Linked DNA regions of Lytechinus pictus. The protein of the gene in region 1 interacts with the protein of each later gene in a pairwise test. Links are inferred from orthologs where the notes say so. Each region holds a gene or a part of one and is shown in the gene's direction. Other genes may lie near its edges.

Region 1 (9,821 bases):
CCAACTACCCCACGAACTAACCTCAAATGATTCAGTTTAACCCACCCTTCAGCCACGCCAGATAACCCTTTCTCCAAAATCTCTGTATCTATATTCAATTCAGTGCAAAACTTTCCTACGCGGCTTGGCTCTTCACCAGATTGACTTGTCATGTTTCTACTAATTGCTACTTAATAAGAAATATAAAGTTGGGATAAATACCTGTTATTCACAGACAAACCTGTACTTTAATGTTTTGAAAACGTGTATGCAGCTCCTTGTTCGTGGTCAGCCTGATGGAAATCTGGTGTATTCCTAATTGTTCTTGCGCTCCTCAAAACCTTTTTAAGATTTGCAAAAAAAATGTAAATGCGGAATGAGTCTGATATTAATAGCTAGCTGTGATGGACGAACTGCCTCTACATCTGATTGGTTGAAAAAAGAGTTGTCTTTTACAGTATCTTTTGAAGTACTCTGCAATGTGTTTGTGTTTGCAAGCATGTGTATGGGCAGCAGTCAGACTGCCACCTTGCATGTAATGTTATGTAGTGATTGCAGACATCTTTTTAATGTATACAGTTAAGACCCATATGTTTGATGTCTAGACTACCCTTTTAAAACCATAATTGTCAATAGTTCCCAGCACCTCTAATCATAGAACAAAGAACTGCCTCCCCCTTCCCAAAAGCAAACCCCCTTTTGACCTGTATAGCCAAACCTCTAGATTATAATTTGTGTTGAGCAAATGCCTCGGCCATGGTAGGGATGTACCTAAGAGCTCGGGGAGAAAATGTTCTGGACCTCACAGTCTGAACGTCCATTTCCTGACAATCTGTATTGATTTCACATCTATATTTATGATCAAAGTCATATTTGGCATTCAACATGGTGAAAATTTGGTTACACTTCGTAATTTCGAAGGTTCGTAATTCCGAAACACGTAAATTGCCTATACCTCGATGTTCGTTAATCCGAAAACGAAAAAAGGGTTCGTTAATCCGAACATTTGTGGCGTAATTCCGAAGGTTCGTTATTCCGAAGGTTCGATAATCCGAAAACGAAATAAGGTTCGTTGTTCCGAAGGTTTGTTAATCCGAAAACGAAATAAGGTTCGTTGTTCCGAAGGTTCGTTAATCCGAAAACGATATAAGGTTCGTTTTTCCGAAGGTTCGATAATCCAAAAACGGAATAAGGTTCGTTGTTCTGAAGGTTCGTTAATCTGAAAACGATATAAGGTTCGTTGTTCCGAAGGTTCGTTAATCCGAAAACAAAAAAGGTTCGTTGTTCCGAAGGTTCGTTTATCCGAAAACGAAATAAGGTTCGTTGTTCCGAAGGTTCGTTCATCCGAAAACGAAATAAGATTTGTTATTCCGAAGGTTCGTTAATCCGAACACGAAATAAGGTTCTTTATTCCGAAGGTTCGTTAATCCGAAAAATGAAAACCAGGAAAGCAGAGGAAGGGCAAGTGTGGTGGGGGGGGGGGGGAGAAACACCGTTGCTGTTCAATTGTTATGAGGATGGGAAGGCAAGGGCGGCCGAACGAATTTTCATTTGGGGGGCAAAGCCAAAAATGACACTCGTACGTCAAAATGGGCACTTTGGTGATATTTTCACCACGAGATTATAATCTGCGTAAAGTCATTGTGTGTTTTGTAGTAATTAAGTTGAGCAAAGGTTTTTTAATTGATTTCTGATTGATAAGATATACATTTAGGTTCTATTTTTCACGAGCAAGCGTAGCAAGCAAGCAGTTTGGAAAAAATTCAAATCTGAAGTTGTAAAACTCGCTTTTTAGTCAATTATGGACCTTATTGCTGTTAATTATTAAAGGGCATCCTTGTGAGATTTTGCGAGCGAATCACGAGCTCAAACTTTTGGAAATTTCCTGTAGGCCTAATAAGACATAATGATAATAATATTGGTATTATTTACCCAGGGAAGCCACTTCAGTTCAGAAAACTGTTCTCCCAGCGGGCCCTGCTATTATTACCCCGGCTTTAACTGGGCTGCCTAGGCGCCCAAAGGAAGGCATTTAAAGAATTTCTTCCTACCGGGTACCCAGGCCATTCACCTCACCTGGGTTGAGTGCAGCAAGGTGTGGATAAATTTCTTGCTGAAGGAAATTACGCCTTGGCTGGGATTTGAACCTACGACCCTCTATTTCATAGTCAGAAGACTAATCCATTATTGGGCCACAACGCCCCACATAAAAAAAGTAAACATTCCGAGCATTTTTTGTAATCATGAAAAAAGGATTAACATTGTTAACACTAGGCGTAACGATCAATAAAATTGTATTAACATTTATATTCTTTATTACCATTTTTATTATGATCATCGTTTGGATTATTATGATCATCATTAGTATTATTTTTATTACCAGCAGAAGCTCTTATTAAAAATGGCATCCCCTCCAATACAAATCCTATTACTGCTTAAGCAGCAATTGCTCAGATAAAATCGAAATTAAGCCTTTGCTTGATCTGGGCGCCTATTCTTAATGCAATACATGCTCTGGCCACAACACACACATGTATCATCGTTCGTTATTACTATTATTGCATAATATCCTGTTATCTTGTAATGACAACAGCGTTCTTGTTAACAAAATGAAATAATTTCAGTTTCGGAAATACGAACCTTATTCAATTTTCAGATTAACAAACCTTATGTCGTTTTCGGACTAACGAACCTTCGGATTTACGAACTTTATTTCGTTTTCGGACTAACGAACCTTCGGAATTACGAACCTCATTTTGTTTTCGGACTAACGAACCTTCGGAATTACGAACCTCATTTCGTTTTCGAATTAACTGACCTTCGGAATTACAAACTTCATTTCATTTTCGGACTAACGAACCTTTGGAATTACGAACCTTTCGGAATACGAACCTTCGGAATAACGAACCTTCAGAATATCCAAACCTTCGGAATAACGAATCCCAAGACAATGGTGATGAGCTATCTGAACATGGTTTATTGCACTGTCTGGCAGCAGCAAAGTCGTCTGTTCAAAATTCTTCTGCAATCTTTAGCGAGAAAATGCATGGGTTTAGGAGACGTGATTGAATTATATACATGTACATATAGTAAGACAACATGTGCATCATATTCAGTGTAAGATGTCCTTTGATATGACTTTGGATTTTTAAAGTTCAAAATAAAAAAAAATCATGAAGTGTTTAACCTCCGACCATGCCTGCAGGACAGGCACACGGTTCCTAGTGCTCAGTCTGTCATCATGTGGCACATTGTAGGTCAAGAACATATTCATTGGTGTCATTTTTTTCATAAATTCATTAATTGCTATGCGCTCTGTAGCTTGAACCATTAAACTTTAAGGCTTTTTCATGACATTAATTTGCACATTTGAAACTCAGTAGATTATTTTTTTCTTAAATTTTGTGTTTTCATGGTGGTGGGGCATGAATGCAAAGTAGGAAAATTAAATTTTTGAATCAACAAAAACATTAAGTACTTTGTAGTAAAACCATTAGATATGGTGACGGGAATAGATGAATCAATCTAATTTTATTATCATCATTTAGCAGTAGAAGCAATACGCAAGACTAATATAGAAGTAGCAGCAGTAGTTATTTTTAGTCATGTAGATGTAGAAGATATAGAAATAGATGTAGAAGTTGTAGTAATAGTAGTAATAGTAGGAGTAGTAGTAGATATTAAGCTTTCGCTTTTATCAAGATTATATTCAATTAATCGCTGTTGTGATAGTTAGATACAGCATGGTTTCTAATAATCTAAACTTCTCATCCTGTATCCCACTCTTCCTCCCTAAAAAGTATGGTAAAAAACCTGCAAATGGGTTTGAGATGTTGATATACTTGATGTCATTAACTTTTCTTTAGCTTTGGCAATATCAAGTTCATTTTTAATGTAATACTGCAATAGGTTTAAGTCATTTTCTTGTTGGTTATGATACTGGTAACTAATGTAGGATGGGGGGTCGGGTGTCTGAAAACTTAAAGGGGAATGAAACCTTTGGAACAAATGGGCTTGTGTGGAAAGAAAAAAATCAAATAAGATCTAAGAAAGTTTGAGAAAAATCTGAAAAATAATGAGAAAGTTATGAGCATTTGAAATTTTGAATATTGCGATCACTAATGCTATGGAGATCCACCCTATTGGCAATGCAACAAAGATGTGTGATATCACATGTGAACAACTTTCCCTGTAAGGTACTATAAAATACCCCTAAAATGTCCTTTTTTGCTCTTTCTTACAGTGATACAAACTCTTTATCCATAATGTATTCTTTAAAAATCAATATTACATGCCCTCTTATAGAAATAATACATGATCTACTGATAGATGTGATAAAAGAGGCAGTTTAAGTGAAATATATAGAAAAGTAATGGTAAAGTTGTTCACAAGTGGCATCACACATCTTTGTTGCATTGCCAATGGGAGGATCTACATTATGATAATTATCTTAACTTCAAATGCTCATAACTTTATTATTTATTCAATTTTTCTCAAACTTTTGTTGATCTGTTTTTGATTTTTTCTGTTTTAGCACAGGCTTTCTTGTTTCAAAGGTTTCATTTTCCTTTAATGGCTGTTAAAAATCTATTGTACGGACACATGATAGCTCAGTCGGTAGAGCGGGGGTTTCGGATTCCGGTGTCCCGGGTTCTATTCCCAAATGGTGCGCTAGTGCCCTTTGGTAAGACATTTATCCTCTTTACCAGGTCCCTCGGAGAGGACCTTAAGCCGTTGGTCCCCTGGTTGCTTGCTCACAGGCATTCGTGCTTTCTTAGCAGTCAGGTAAAAACCTCGGTATAACAAAGTATAACAACCTGTCCGGGCATACACTAGGCCTAGTATCATGGATCCAAGAGCCTCAAACAAAAACATGGAGATTATACTCAAAGTGGAAAGGAGATTTGCATGCATTAGTATAAGCCAGTTCACGGTTAGCTCATGATCAACTTTTCTCAAATGACCTTTGTGATTTTTCATTAGGATAAGCACTATCATTTTCAAATGTAGATGTTGCGTAAGCTTTACCGGTAGAGTATTCAAATTCTAAGAACAAAAGGCATTGTATAGACCACCAGTGCACCAGGGTGACTAGAAAAGTACATCGGTTATAAAATTTGGAAATCTGTTTTATTGTCTGCCCTTGGCACATTTGACTATTGTTTAGGCTACTGTCAAATACCAGTGATTATGAAGGCTCTATTTATTACTCTTCAGCTTGGATGTGATAAAAAGAAATATTTTGAAAGGAATACATGATTCATGAATAATCATCAAATCACAAATGCCTATGTCAGTGAATTTGAAAGCCACCTTCATGGTTTATCTCAAATGACTTTTTTCTACTCGTGCGCAGTTTACAACCGTGAACAGGCTTATTGTGTAGCTGGATCGCATGCATGCCAGGCATTTTAATTGTAATGAAACGCCTGCCGTCTTCGCTGGTCATGCTGGTTATCAGAGTGAAAATGGATACAGGGAGTTACACACGTGGGACTGAAGTAATGAGTCATCATATGCTTGTAAGTTGTAACCGCAATCGAACGTTTGGGTTTAATTAAAATGACAGTTTTTGCCTCTTGATAAAATGATTAAGGGCTTTTGCTTTTCTCGATTTCACCCAAAATTCGTACTATTTATTTGTTTTCATAGAATAGTCTGTAGCTGTAGGAAAACATCGTCTCCCTCCCGAGTTTCGTGCGGAAAATGACATCCTCGCTGCGCTGCCTCACAGTCGGAGCTTGACCAATCAGGTAATTGCGTTTTCGGCAATCATTCGAAATCGTCATATTCGTCAGACAATCATAGTTTTCATATTATTTGATCCTACAAAACTGATCATGTCGTTTTAAAAGAAGAACTCTTGGTATTTTGATTTCGAATGATATAATATGACTCTATTAAACCTTGTTACGCTTTTCTGCGTTCATGGTCAACAGCAGGGGCAGTCTGCTTTCACAGACGTATCACGCATTCATGTCACGTGTGCCAAGCGAGGGTCTAACACGTACCTGGGACATTTCCAACTTCGATTTCGTCACCATAATTATTTTTAGAAATGCAGTTAATCGACAAAGAACCTCACATCACTCTGCACATACATGTACACAATCACCCTCAGATAAAAAGATTAATTTAAATATTTGATAATATGAATTACTGTAAAAATTTTACCCAACAGGCCCAATGTTTACCTCCTTCTTGCTTGCTTGCGATGTGATCACTGACCTCTTCATCATGTGCATGTGATATGCGGCGCGGCGTGGTTTAAAATTAGCATTTTTCAAAATAAAACGATGGCGCTCTTCTGTGCATCTAGTTAAAGGACAAGTCAATCCCAACCAAAAGTGGATTTGAATAAAAAGGGAAAAAATCCAACAAGCGTAATACTTAATTTTCGTGAAAATTGGACGTAAAATAAGACAAAGTTATGACATTTTTAAAGGGGATGTTTACCCTGACAAAAAGTTTATTGTAAATATAGCAGAAAAAAAATGAGTGAAGGTTTGAGGGAAAATCTATCAAAGATTTAAAAAGTTATTAGTATTTTCACGTTTTTTATTTGTGTCGTCATGTGTGAGCAGCTTCCAATATATCATGGATTGAAAAAAAATCAATAAAATTTCATTTTTCTCAAGAAATTGAAGATATTTTTTATTGCACCTTCAGTATATCAACTTCAGAAAATTTTGTGTCACACCTGCTCCTGAGAGAAAAAAAGAATCAGTCATCACGAGCTATTAAAATAGAAATTTATGCATTTAAATTACATAACAAATTATAAACTAATTCAAAAATATAGAAGTGATCGCCTATAGGAGGTGGTGTATGTATATCAAGGATAATGTCACTTTCAAGCTGATGACTGATTTATACTTTTGTACCTCAACTATTGATACTGCCGGTCTTTATTGAAATCATGAAGGAACTTCAGAATTTGATTGTTGGAACTGTATACAAAGCTCCCGATACTAGTGGTGTTGAGTTTAATGACCTTTTTTTAAGCATGTCAAAGAAAAGAAACACTGTTATATTGATGGTGACTTTAACTTTGATTTACTTAGTTATGCCCTTCATTCTGATACTAGTGCTTTCATCGACACAATATTCATCGGGCTTCATCCTCTTTTCCCCACTTATCTCGAGACCAACTCGTGGTACAATCAATTATTCTACTTGTATTGATAATATCTTTACAAATGTGCTGGATAAGGCGATCCTACCTGGTATTTTCTATTCAGACCTATCTGACCATTTCCCCATATTTCAATTAACGAACTATTTTCCACCAAGTTACCACACCCATTTGAATAATAAAACCCACGCTTAACACCAGTCTTAGCATGTAACAAGTTGTCCTCTGCGACAACCTTATCCAATGTCAACGTAGCTTACGAAACTTTTGTTAAGGGTTTGAAAGAGATTATATCGCAAGTATTCAAGGACATCACCCGGTAAAGATAGAATTAGAGCACACACAAAAAACCTGGATTACAAAAGGCATTCTTAAATCCATTAGTAAGAAGGAACGCTTATTTAAGCAGTATTTAAAACTGAAAATCCATAACATGAAGAAAAAAATACACATCCTATAAAAACAAACTTATTCATATTATTCGTGTCTTTAAACAAAAATATTTTGCTGCAAAACTCAAATCGAAAACTTGGAAAATTCCTAACAGCCTGCTCGGTAAAGAACCTTCATTCATCCGTAAAGATGCATGGCGCGTGAGGCTGAACAGAAATCAATTGCAAATGCTTTTAACTCTTTTTTTTTGTTAATGATGGTTGTGTTGATAATACGAGGTCCATTAGATGTTTTCGTGATTATTCAACTCACTCCTTTTTTATTTTTCATCTACAGACAGAAACGGAATTTTTAAGAATTGAAGGTATCTGGCTCTTTAAGAAATAAACATTTCTGTGGGGTTGATGATATGCCACCATTTCTTGTAAAGAAAATAATCATAATTGTTGAACCTTTAACCCACGTGTTTAATTTATCGTTTCAATCTGGACCATTTCCAAATTCAATGAATGTTTCAAAAGTTATAGCCCTATTAAAAAGGTTGACAAAAAAGATTTATCAAACTATCGTCCAATTTAATTGCTGTCCAACCTTTTTTTTTATTCTAGAAAAATATGCAATCGATTATTTACTTTCCTGAATAATTCATTTATTTTCGGAGCAATATGATTTCGAAAATTTTATTATACAGAGTGAGCTTTGCTTTTTGCTTCTGAACTTCTGTACAAATTCAACGAAAAGAAAGAGATAGCTTTGGGGGTCTACGTAGACCTTAGCAAAGCATTCGATTGTCTGGATCACCAAATCTTATAAAAAAAATAATTTTTATGGAATTAGAGGTATTCCCTTGGAATGGTTTAGAATTAATTTATCAAAAAGAATATATTTTTATACGACAAGGTGTGCCTCAAGGTAGTATATTATTATTTTCGTTGTTCATAAACGACATTGTTGAATCTTTAAAGAAATTACATTATAATATACTGTCGACACGAACATATTCCATTCAGGTATAACATTTAAAGACTTGATTTCTGAAGAAAATGTTGAACTGCAGAATGTTGCTAATTGGTTTTCTGCAAATAAATTGAAAATTAATGAAACGGGGGAAAAAAAAAATATATATATTGAATACATAATTTTAAAATTGGACGGTAAATATATCAACCAAGTTCAATTTGCAAATTTCTTAGGTATAACTATAATAAACTTTTGTGGGAAAAACATATTGAAATAATTTCCAAGAAGATTCGATGTAATTCGGTGTAATTTAAAAAGTTTTTTTACCATCCTCTGCCATGCTTTCTCTATATCATACACTTGTATATCCGTACTTAATGTATTGTAATCTTATATGGGCAAGAACATTTGTTAAATTTTTAAAAACCCTTTTCATACTTCAAAAACGGGATGTTCGTTGATGCTGCAACGCCTCCTTCAGGGCACATACCTCTCCTTTGTTTAAATCTTTGAAATTACTTAAATTTGCAGATATTCTTTCCCAAGGCACATCTTTATTTACGTATAAACTAAAATATATGTTACCATATACTTATAATGACAGTTTTCGTTTTCATTAAGTCACACAATAATGAAAAACACAAAATTTACAATTTTTTTTTTACAAAATAGATAAATTAGATTTTGTATCTAATTTTATTGTATTATTGTATTTCATTATTTTGTATCTTGAGGGTTGCTTGTTTACAGGTTTTTTACTTTTTGCTAGCAATTCTGGTATTTTATGTACTACATTGTTTATGTCAATGATTGTATCTCGATTTTATCTTATACCAAATAAAATAATCTGAAGCTACTCGTATAATGACGTCACAAATCAAAAGCTTAAAATTCTCATAACTTTTTAGTCTTCAATGGATTTTCCTCATAAAGATTCACCAATAGTTTCAATGCTATATTTTTACAACACACTTTTCGTCAGGGTGAACTTTCCCTTTGATTCTCGCTTAATTTCACAAAACATTAATATTCTCATCCTGGTATGCAATGAGGGAACTGATGACGTCACCCACTCACTATTTTGTATTTTATTTTATTTTTATTTGTTGTCCTGAGGAACACAAGCCCACATGTCCTGATGGAGGAATAAAACGTATTTTTACCACTGTTTTACCATTTCATGGTTCGTAAATCTGTTTTTAAAAAATATTCAAAAATTAATAAAAGAGGGATATCATCGACTCATTTGCATCACACTGAGTTGTACGAATAATACATGAAATTTCCTTCACTCGAGAAAAGAGATCTGAATTTTGTGTTCAAAATAAGTCTCCTCTTATTAAAAAAATGATTT
Region 2 (9,101 bases), on another chromosome or scaffold:
GCAAATCTCGTGCCATCACACTCATGCCTATTCGCCATTTGTATATATTGATAGGGCAAAATCTAGCTAAGAAATAAATTATTTTCAAAAGATAAAGATATATATGGATAACGTACATGGCTTAAATCAATCTATGGCAATCCAAGGCCAGGCCTGGGATACCCTTTTCACCTTTTCCCCAGAATAAAAATTGGCCTGATGGAAAATTGGCCTCGGCCTAAAACTATTGAATATTTGATTGTCAAGATTTCATGTGTGCATAGATGTAGCCCAATATTACATGCAAATTATAGAAAATGGTTTTAAATATACTAGGAGAATTAGAACGAGGAAATTATCACTACTCACAGATTCTGGGAATCTCTTTAAATTAGTTGATGCACTTTGAGCTGAGAAATGAAGTCTTTTTAACCTGACATGTGGATTAACCTGCCAAAAGAAAAGAAACCATGAAATTAATTTCATCTTTTATAAATCAATTTTTATTTGGCAATTCACCTTTCATTTGATTCATTGTTAAACAAATTACAATATATCCATTCCTTGATTAATACTATTACTCATTGCTTAATTGATTGTTCATTCATTCATTCATTCATTCATTCATTCATTCATTCACTCACTCACTCACTCACTCACTCATTCATTTTCATTCATTCATGTTCTTAATCAGATCTTCCTAATATAACACAAATTATAATTGACACTAAATTGAACAAATGTATGGAACTTAATTTCAAGTGAAATCTCGATATATCCACTCAATTTCACACAGTCCGACCTCTCTTATCCGGCCTCCCGTTATCCGGATCTCTCTATTATCCGGACGCACACTTGCCGAGATTTTTTTTTTCAATTCAATCTAGTACTTGAGGAAATGAGATTTGAATCTAAACTCATTCCTATACGCAAACTCACTTTGATTACATATATTTTCCAATATAGTCTACATACAACAACATTATTTTTCATGAAAATATCTCACCTAAATCACAGAAAGAACTTAGGCAGGATAATTTTCCAGTAAATAAGGGCGCATAGCAATATTTGATCATGTTCTCTTTTTGTTTCCCAAGAAAAACAACACATGTCTCGCTAGCTTACACTATAGGCCTTAATACGGACAGCGCCATCTATCATGTTTGAGCCTACAGTCAGTATAACAATGGCTGACATTGCGAAGCTGCGATACCCGCCGCGATGATCTAATCATAAAACTTTGTTTCATCGAGTCATTCTCTTTCTTTCGAGGTATGCTCGATGTATACCTCAACCATTTTAGCAGGTAAATTATCCAACAGTTTGGGCCTTCGATCGATTTCATTTCCGTAAAAATACCGCCTATAATTTGCACCGACACTGCAGAGAATACTGTCTGTACGCGCGCCCACTACAATACATGTAGATAGCGTGTCGCTACCGCCGTTGGGGAGCTGAGTGTATTTAATATTGGGTCTCCCAGATCCGGATAAATCCCTTATCTGGATTGGTGCTGGTCCCGTGTCCGGATAAGAGAGGTCAGACTGTATAACAAAAATGGGACCATTTGATCCCTTTTCTTGTCAGATGAACGATGTATTAGAATGGACGATGGAAATTATGAATGCAGGGCCCGCTGGAAGATTGGCTAATAGCTGAAGTTGCTACCTTGGGCAAATAAGAGCTTATTATTATTAATATTAATCCTCCTCCCCATCATTATCATCATCTCATCATCATCTAAACCATGAAAGTTATCAATATCAACATCATCATAAGTACAATAAGCATTGCCATTATCATCACCATCATCATCAGCAGCATCATCATCATCATCATCATCATCATCTTCATCATCATCATCATCATCATCACCACCATCATCATCACCATCATCAGCAGCAGCAGCATCATTATCATATCATCACCATCAGCAGCAGCAGCATCTTCTTCATCTTCATCTTCATCATCATCATCATTATCATTATCAGACACTAATGGTAATAATAAATTTCAACAACAAATATCAAATAATTTATGACTTACAGGCAAGAATTGGTAGATGGACCTCACACTGTCTGGGCTGCATCCTACTTTAAGAACCTGCCATGTTTAATGCATGGAGTAGAAACCAGAATGAAAATCTTAACACCTAAACAATGTGTCAGTAAAACATAAAACTTATGAAGAAAAAAAAAATATATATATATATATTAACCTTTTCCATTTGTTTATGGTCTTGAGACATGTTTTGTTCACATACTAGATCAATATTGCATTTAGATTCCTCTTAAGATCATACTAATGCTGATAATCATGTGCATTTTGAACTTCATAAATAAATTAGATTAAGTACACTAGCAGATATCTTTGATGCAAATTAGAGTATACCCAGGCCGGTACCTTAATTGAAACTATTAAAAACTCATTTGAGAAGAAAGTCAGGAAAAAAATCTACATAGCAAAGGGAGTGTGTCATGAAGCATATCTTGACAGCAATTTTTAACTAATTTGTTATGAGCCAATCAGATGCAAGGATTTCAGTAGATTAATTGTTCCAAGAAATGCATCCCTGATGTATTAAAACAATATCATGCGAAGTCAAACTTCCCCAGGAATCATATATTTTAAAAGCAATAGCATAGACCTACCTGTCAAGTGCCAACCATGTAGGCCCAAAATAGGAACAAATTACGAAGAACTTTCAAGGAACAGGAAGACTTAAACTTTCCTATTCAATAGGCCTACTACAGATTTTTTTTTCACAGAAATAGGAACCTAAGGTAAACTTACTAAGGTTAACTAAACAGAGCAAGTTTCTTTTCCCCAAAATAGAACTTTCTATTTTTATGAAACAGGAAATTCTTAAATTTCCTCTTTATGCTAAAGATTTTTTTTTTCACAGAAAGAGGGACATATGACTTAAAATGGCAATGTTCTTCTTTTCAAAAATAGGAATAGTGCTATTTAACAGGAACACTGGGCAGGAGCAGTACCTTTGCACAAAGTCCTCTTCTCCCCGCATCACAGTCCACTTCATAATCCCACCTTGCGTGAGACATCCACCAACCATCAATGCTTATCTCTGACGATTCGATGATCCGACTCGATAACAAGTTTGTTGACCTTTCCTGCAGGTCACCCAGGTTGCCAAAGTCATCCTGGTCTTCAGTATCGTACTTTTGGTCCTGTCTGCTCTCAAACAGATCTTTGTAGACTCTTGAGAATTCAATCAGACATGTGCATATTGGCAGTTTAGTTAGTGATAGTACTGTTCCTACTTGCTCATGCATAATTTTGATTGGTAAGTTGAATGAATGGATGGATGGATGAATAAATAACCCGGGGGGGGGGGGGGGCACTCAGTATATAATGCGATATGGGTATGTGCCGCGGAGGGGACTCCCATTTGTACACTCAAATTTCTGTTTTTATTTTATCTTATTGAGAAAAAGAACAAAGAAAGCCACTCCAATTAAAGCATAGCATTTTCTTCTTATCGAGAAAAAAGAAGAAAGAAATCCGCTCCAAAGCTTCGCATATTTTTCGTTACGCCATTCCGGCCGCATTGATCTGCTACAATGAGATGCAATTTTGGTGAAAACTGCTGTTTGACCATTGCCTCTAGCTCTGTGTGAGCGCAACCGGCGCCCGTGCCGCACCGCCGGGCTAGCTGCATGCACGTTCCATAGGGATGCATACACACTCACACGCAGGCGACTCGTTCCAAAGACCCCCGTTTTCACAAACATTTGTAGTTCTGAAGCCTGTTCCGAGGACCCTCCTTTTTACAATAAACCCGCTCCAGAGCCCCCGTTTTTGTCTTGCCCGCGGCACATACCTACCACTCTTTGGGTCAAGTACCCCCCCCCCCCCCCCCGGATAAATGAATGAATGAAAAGATGGATGGATAGATGAATGAATTGACGAATGAATACATAAATAAATGCATGATGAATGAGCGAATGTTAAATGAAAGAATGAATGGGTAAATAAATGTTAATTCATTCATAATCAAACTATAACTAGATGCTGGTACTAAGAATGTTCACATGAGTTTTATGTACACATAAATGGTTAATGAATAATAAAAATATATGTTAATTATTAAATAGGTTAAAAATCTATGTTATCATCTACTGAACATCCAATTCTAAATTCTATTGATTATACTATGATTGGCAAAAACTATTTTATAACAAATGATAATGATTGATTCAAATTGCACTTTTAAAAATTCAATTCTTCCCTTTCGATCAATACTACTTTGGTCTCGATCAATTTTTTTTCCCTTTTATTTTAAAATAAGATTCCAAAGTCAAGTTACTTAATGGTGGGCAAGTTTATTTTTATTAAGTTCTCTAAAAAATAATCCAAGCAATCCAAGCAATAACATTTAAATCATCTACTGCAACTGTACAAACACTACCCAACTCAAGTTCCACCTCCATCCACCACCTGCAATTAGATGCACCGCCCATCACCGGGCAGGCATCCACCTCCTCCACTACACACAACTTCATTCAATGCGAGCACATGCACAGATGGCATTATCATCATCATCATCACCCAATAATCACACAGACACCCCTTCAAACCATTTACCTTTAGTGAGCTGAACTTACCTTCCATTATTCTCCTTGTCTAGAATAGACACAACATTCATGTACATAAGCACTAAAGATATTGTTAGAGTGATGAACAAGCACCAAATCACTCTTTTGACATGAATACGACGAAAATAAAGATAAGCAAGCCCTGTTTTGGTATCCGTGGACGAAGCCATTTTCATCTAAGACTAGTCTTCACGCCAAACTAACTTTAGATTTGTTATCTTTAAAAGTAATTAAATGTCCTTTTAGAATATGATTATGAGACATTTTTCGACTCTGTGAGCATAATAATCAATATACAAAATTGATAATTTACTAATCTAGTATTCTACAGTGATTATATTAAAAATAAGGAAATCAATTGACATTAACCCGCCTGCGCCTCGAGAGTAGCCTACATACATAAGCCTAGCTATAAATGAAGGAAGGAATTAGGAACTGCATCGATTTTTGATAGAATTAAAACGTTGTATTCGTTTCTTGGGTGAGTATCAACCATGAAAACATTGTATTTGAAATAATTAGAATTATCGAATATTATAAATTGTGTGGTTTGTTGTACAGATGCCTTGGAAATTTAGGAAAAACCTTACTAAGAAAAGACGTAACGTTAGGCCTTAGGGCAATCTTTTCACGGAAGGCGAAGGACTCAAGCCTGGACAAGGAGAGCCACCGCCGCCGCCGCCGCCGAAGGCTCCGGCGGCGGAGGTCGGACAATGATGTGTAGACTCGGCTCGCGAGGGGTAACTGTTGCATTTGGGTACTTTCCATTAAGGGCTACACTCAAATCGATTCTTAAAGACTTAATGCTTTCGTCTTGCAAAGCTGACCCACAAAAATCTTATAATAAGATCCCAAAAAGATGGGTTTTTTTCATGCCATGGGCATGGCCATTGCAAATCATACAAAACGTTGTTGAACAATGACAATGTCAAAAAATGAAGTTAAAAAAAAAAAAGGCATCCAATGGCTAGACAGGAATAACCGTCGTTTCTGGGGATTTATTCAACAATTTCTGACATTTTACTGTAATCCCCATTTACCGACGGTAGGGTGTACGTGTGGGCTCGCATGTGTTCTCATTCCCTCCCTTTTGTCAATTCACAGTCCAAAGTTTGATGTAATTTTACACATCGAATTTACAATCTAAGGATGTATAAACAACAAACTTTTAAAACTTTATATTTTAACATTTAAATACTTTAAACGATATAGATGAAAAAGGCATGAAAAATATACTTTACCGATGTTTAATTGGGTTGAACACGATAAAAATGGTCAAAATGGCAGCCAAACTATAAAATATTTACAAACGAACGTCAACAATCACGAATGTGATATCGATATTGCTTTCGATATTATACGATCTGCTCCATATGCGAACGAAACCGAAGATAAACGATACTAGTTATACTAGTACTAGTACTAGTTATAATCGCGATATATCGATTCGAGACATTAAGTTAATACGATAATGACGTCATTCAAGATGGCAACTTGCAAGAAAAACCATCAGGTCAGGTGAAAATGTCTTAGATGACAGATTTCTCAATCATCCAGAGGATTTTTTTCAATAACTCCGGCCCAAGGTATGCAATTACTTAAGTTATTTATATTTACCTGATAATGGAAACCATTAAACTTTCAATTTTGCTTAAAAAACAGTTTTAAATCGCGATCTATAAAACGCTAGTTCACTATACGTTGGCTGTAGGTACGGGGCCCCATCCCCTTCAGTCTATGTATGGTGAGTGGAGCCAACGTAGTTCAGCGGAACAACCAAAATACAGAGACTGAAGCTTTTGGTCTATCCAATGGCATGCCATGTGCATGGCAATGAAATGCAAAAAGAAAAGTAAATTTGAATTTGGCAAAGATTGTTGGTAAGAGAAGTTAGAGAACAGATAGCTCATATTTGCCCTCAAAATTAAAAACATGAAATACCAAAGGCAAAGATTTGGTCTAGGCAGTATAAATTAATAATGGAATGTGCACACATTTTTTGCTGTGCAATTAACAGTCCTTGACATGGAGCCTAAAGTTAAAAATCCTGCTCATCTCAGTATATTATAAAATTAGATTTACATGCCTTTCTTATCTTCTTTTGGTATAGGATTTCTTTACAAGCGTAACCAGAATGGATCAAGCACTTCTGAGAGAAAGGGAAGCGTTCTTGAAGAGAGCAAAATCCCAACCTGTCATTGAGAAGAAGAGACCGAAAACTGGATTTTCCAACGAACCACCCCCAAAGAAAAAAAAGCCAGGCCCCGGATTTTCAGAACCAGGTAGGCCTATGTAGTTAATTATCTCAAACTTGGGACTGGTAACATAAAGCTAAGCAATTGATTATTAGGCTGATTTCTTTGATAGATTGCATTGATTATTGTGTGTGATCAGTTGTAAAAATGAGCCCCATGATCAATTACAGATCTGTATGGGCCCTGAAGCTGATACTGTATAATTTGCATTAGCAGGAAAAAAGGTACATGGGATTCAAACAGTGATTGGTTCCCAACACATTTCAAACGACCCTATGAATTTGCATTAGAAATCACAGTGAGTTTTCTAGGAGTAGGAAAATAGCCTCCATAATCCTTTAATAGTTGTTTGAGTGCGTTGTTTACAAGTGATTAAAGTAACTCGGTCTCTTCGGTTTAGAAATCACTGCAGGAGCATTAAGTTGTTGTCTGAATTGCATTAATTTATTGGTTGAAAACCATTCTGCTGTTCTATATGTTTCGGGTATGTAACGATATGTGATGAATTGTAATGATATGCTCTGTATGTTAAGCATGATGTTTTTGTGAATTTTATAACTAAAAACAAGTGAATTGGGATAGAATACCATCACAGACCAAAAAATAAAAAGTGAGTTTCCCATCTTGAGCAAAAAACACAATAACCAGGATAAATCAGGTTTTAATATTTCTTTGGATTTTTTTTTTTTTTAAGGTTCTAGTCGATTGTCAACAGGCCTGAATTACAAGACCCATGCTGGTAGTTCCAAATATAAGTTTGGCATCCTGGCAAAAATTGTAAACTTTATGAAGGTAAGTTTGAGAAATGCATATGTATCAACCTTTTTTTCTGTAAAAAAATTGTACATTTGACCTATATAATAATTGATTGTTCAATTGGATTGTTGGTGTTGATTTTGATGGGCTTTATTCAAGCTTACATGTGTGTCACCTGTTTGCAGCAAACATTTTGTTCCAGATGGGGTGCTCATTACACCTTGCATTTCAGATATATGTCAGTCTTTGTGTATGTTGAATTTTTGTGGTTACAGTTAACATTTTTACACTAGTAATGATTATTCTCCCCAATTTTTTTCTCATCCTCTCTGTCTCAGTTTCTCTCGCTCTCTTTATCTCTCTACCTCACTCTTTCTGTCCCTGATTTCCTTTCCCATTTTCTTCCTGTCCCTTCTTCTCTCTGCATCCATATGTAATTAGGGTTCTAGGAAATGCGCTTCCATTATCTAATAAATGGAAAATTTAGTGTTCACATCTTATTAACACACAAAAGTGTTACCAGTTGTGTAAAGTCTTGTGTAAATTCTAAGGGAACTTATGAACAGCTTTATGCAACACCTTTAGCCTGTTTCATAAAGACTTGCAAACTACATGTAGGTAACTTTGCCATTAGGACAACTACCATGATACTAGGCTCATCAGCCAAGCACAATCGATGTTTCCATGGTAGTTACAATAATGGCAAAGAAGTTATTAAAGCTATAACTCTTTACGAAACAGGCCTCGTGTTTGCGTATCATGACATAACATACCTATACTAAAAATTTTGATTGATGTTGGTTCTGATTGATTGTCCTGAAGTCTAAATGTCTTACTTATAGTGTGGTTTATTATATTTATTTAAGAAATTTTGCCATTTTAATAAAAAAAAACTACCTTCACCATCAAATGGAACGTTTCTAGTGTTTTTGTGATTTTTAATTTTGTTGCTCTTTTGTTGATCTTCTGGTGTACAGACGCGGTATCAGGACGGTGACTTCTATCCACTGAACATTGATGAGATCCTGGATGAAACCAAGCAGCAAGATGTCGGTCAGAAACAGAAGATGTGGCTGGTCAATGAGGTGGGTAGTCCTGATAGGACATTGTCTGAAATTAGCCAAGTGTAGGCACAAACCGTAATTGCTGCTTCAATCATCGTGTGGGTCTTGAATGAATTCAACCACAATTCCATGATAAGCCAACAAAAATTCAGACCAGGGCCCCGTGTTACAAAGAGTTACGATTTATCCAATCAACCTCAAGTATATGGAAATCCATTAATATCATAATTACTTCTTCAGGAAATTTGCACTATGTCCTTTGTAAACAAAGAGAAGCAGACCGAATTTTCAAGAAAACAATAAATGTACAAATACACATCATATCTAGAAAATATTTCGAACAAACAAGCATTTTAGATAATGACTTTGCTGGCTATCCATAGTTGTGGTTGATTGGATCAATTGTAACTCTTTGTAAGACGCGGCACAGA

What was found.
Region 2: the proteins of general transcription factor IIE subunit 1-like (region 1) and transcription initiation factor IIE subunit beta-like interact in a two-hybrid assay, tested with the Drosophila melanogaster proteins (2 studies listed by BioGRID). The link is inferred for Lytechinus pictus from reciprocal best matches to the Drosophila melanogaster genes TfIIEalpha and TfIIEbeta.

What each region holds. Positions count from the first base shown.
Region 1 is NC_087248.1:6,412,313-6,422,133, forward strand, and holds the start of general transcription factor IIE subunit 1-like, read left to right. Parts: upstream 1-5,626; 5' UTR 5,627-5,732; intron 5,733-6,153; exon of another isoform or gene 6,154-6,233; intron 6,234-9,821. Other genes in the region: uncharacterized protein LOC129259117, read right to left, coding at 1-152.
Region 2 is NC_087247.1:27,123,066-27,132,166, forward strand, and holds the start of transcription initiation factor IIE subunit beta-like, read left to right. Parts: upstream 1-4,987; 5' UTR 4,988-5,076; intron 5,077-6,705; 5' UTR 6,706-6,729; coding exon 6,730-6,877; intron 6,878-7,544; coding exon 7,545-7,642; intron 7,643-8,583; coding exon 8,584-8,691; intron 8,692-9,101. Other genes in the region: uncharacterized protein LOC129257518, read right to left, coding at 349-429, 2,026-2,082, 2,976-3,198, 4,605-4,771.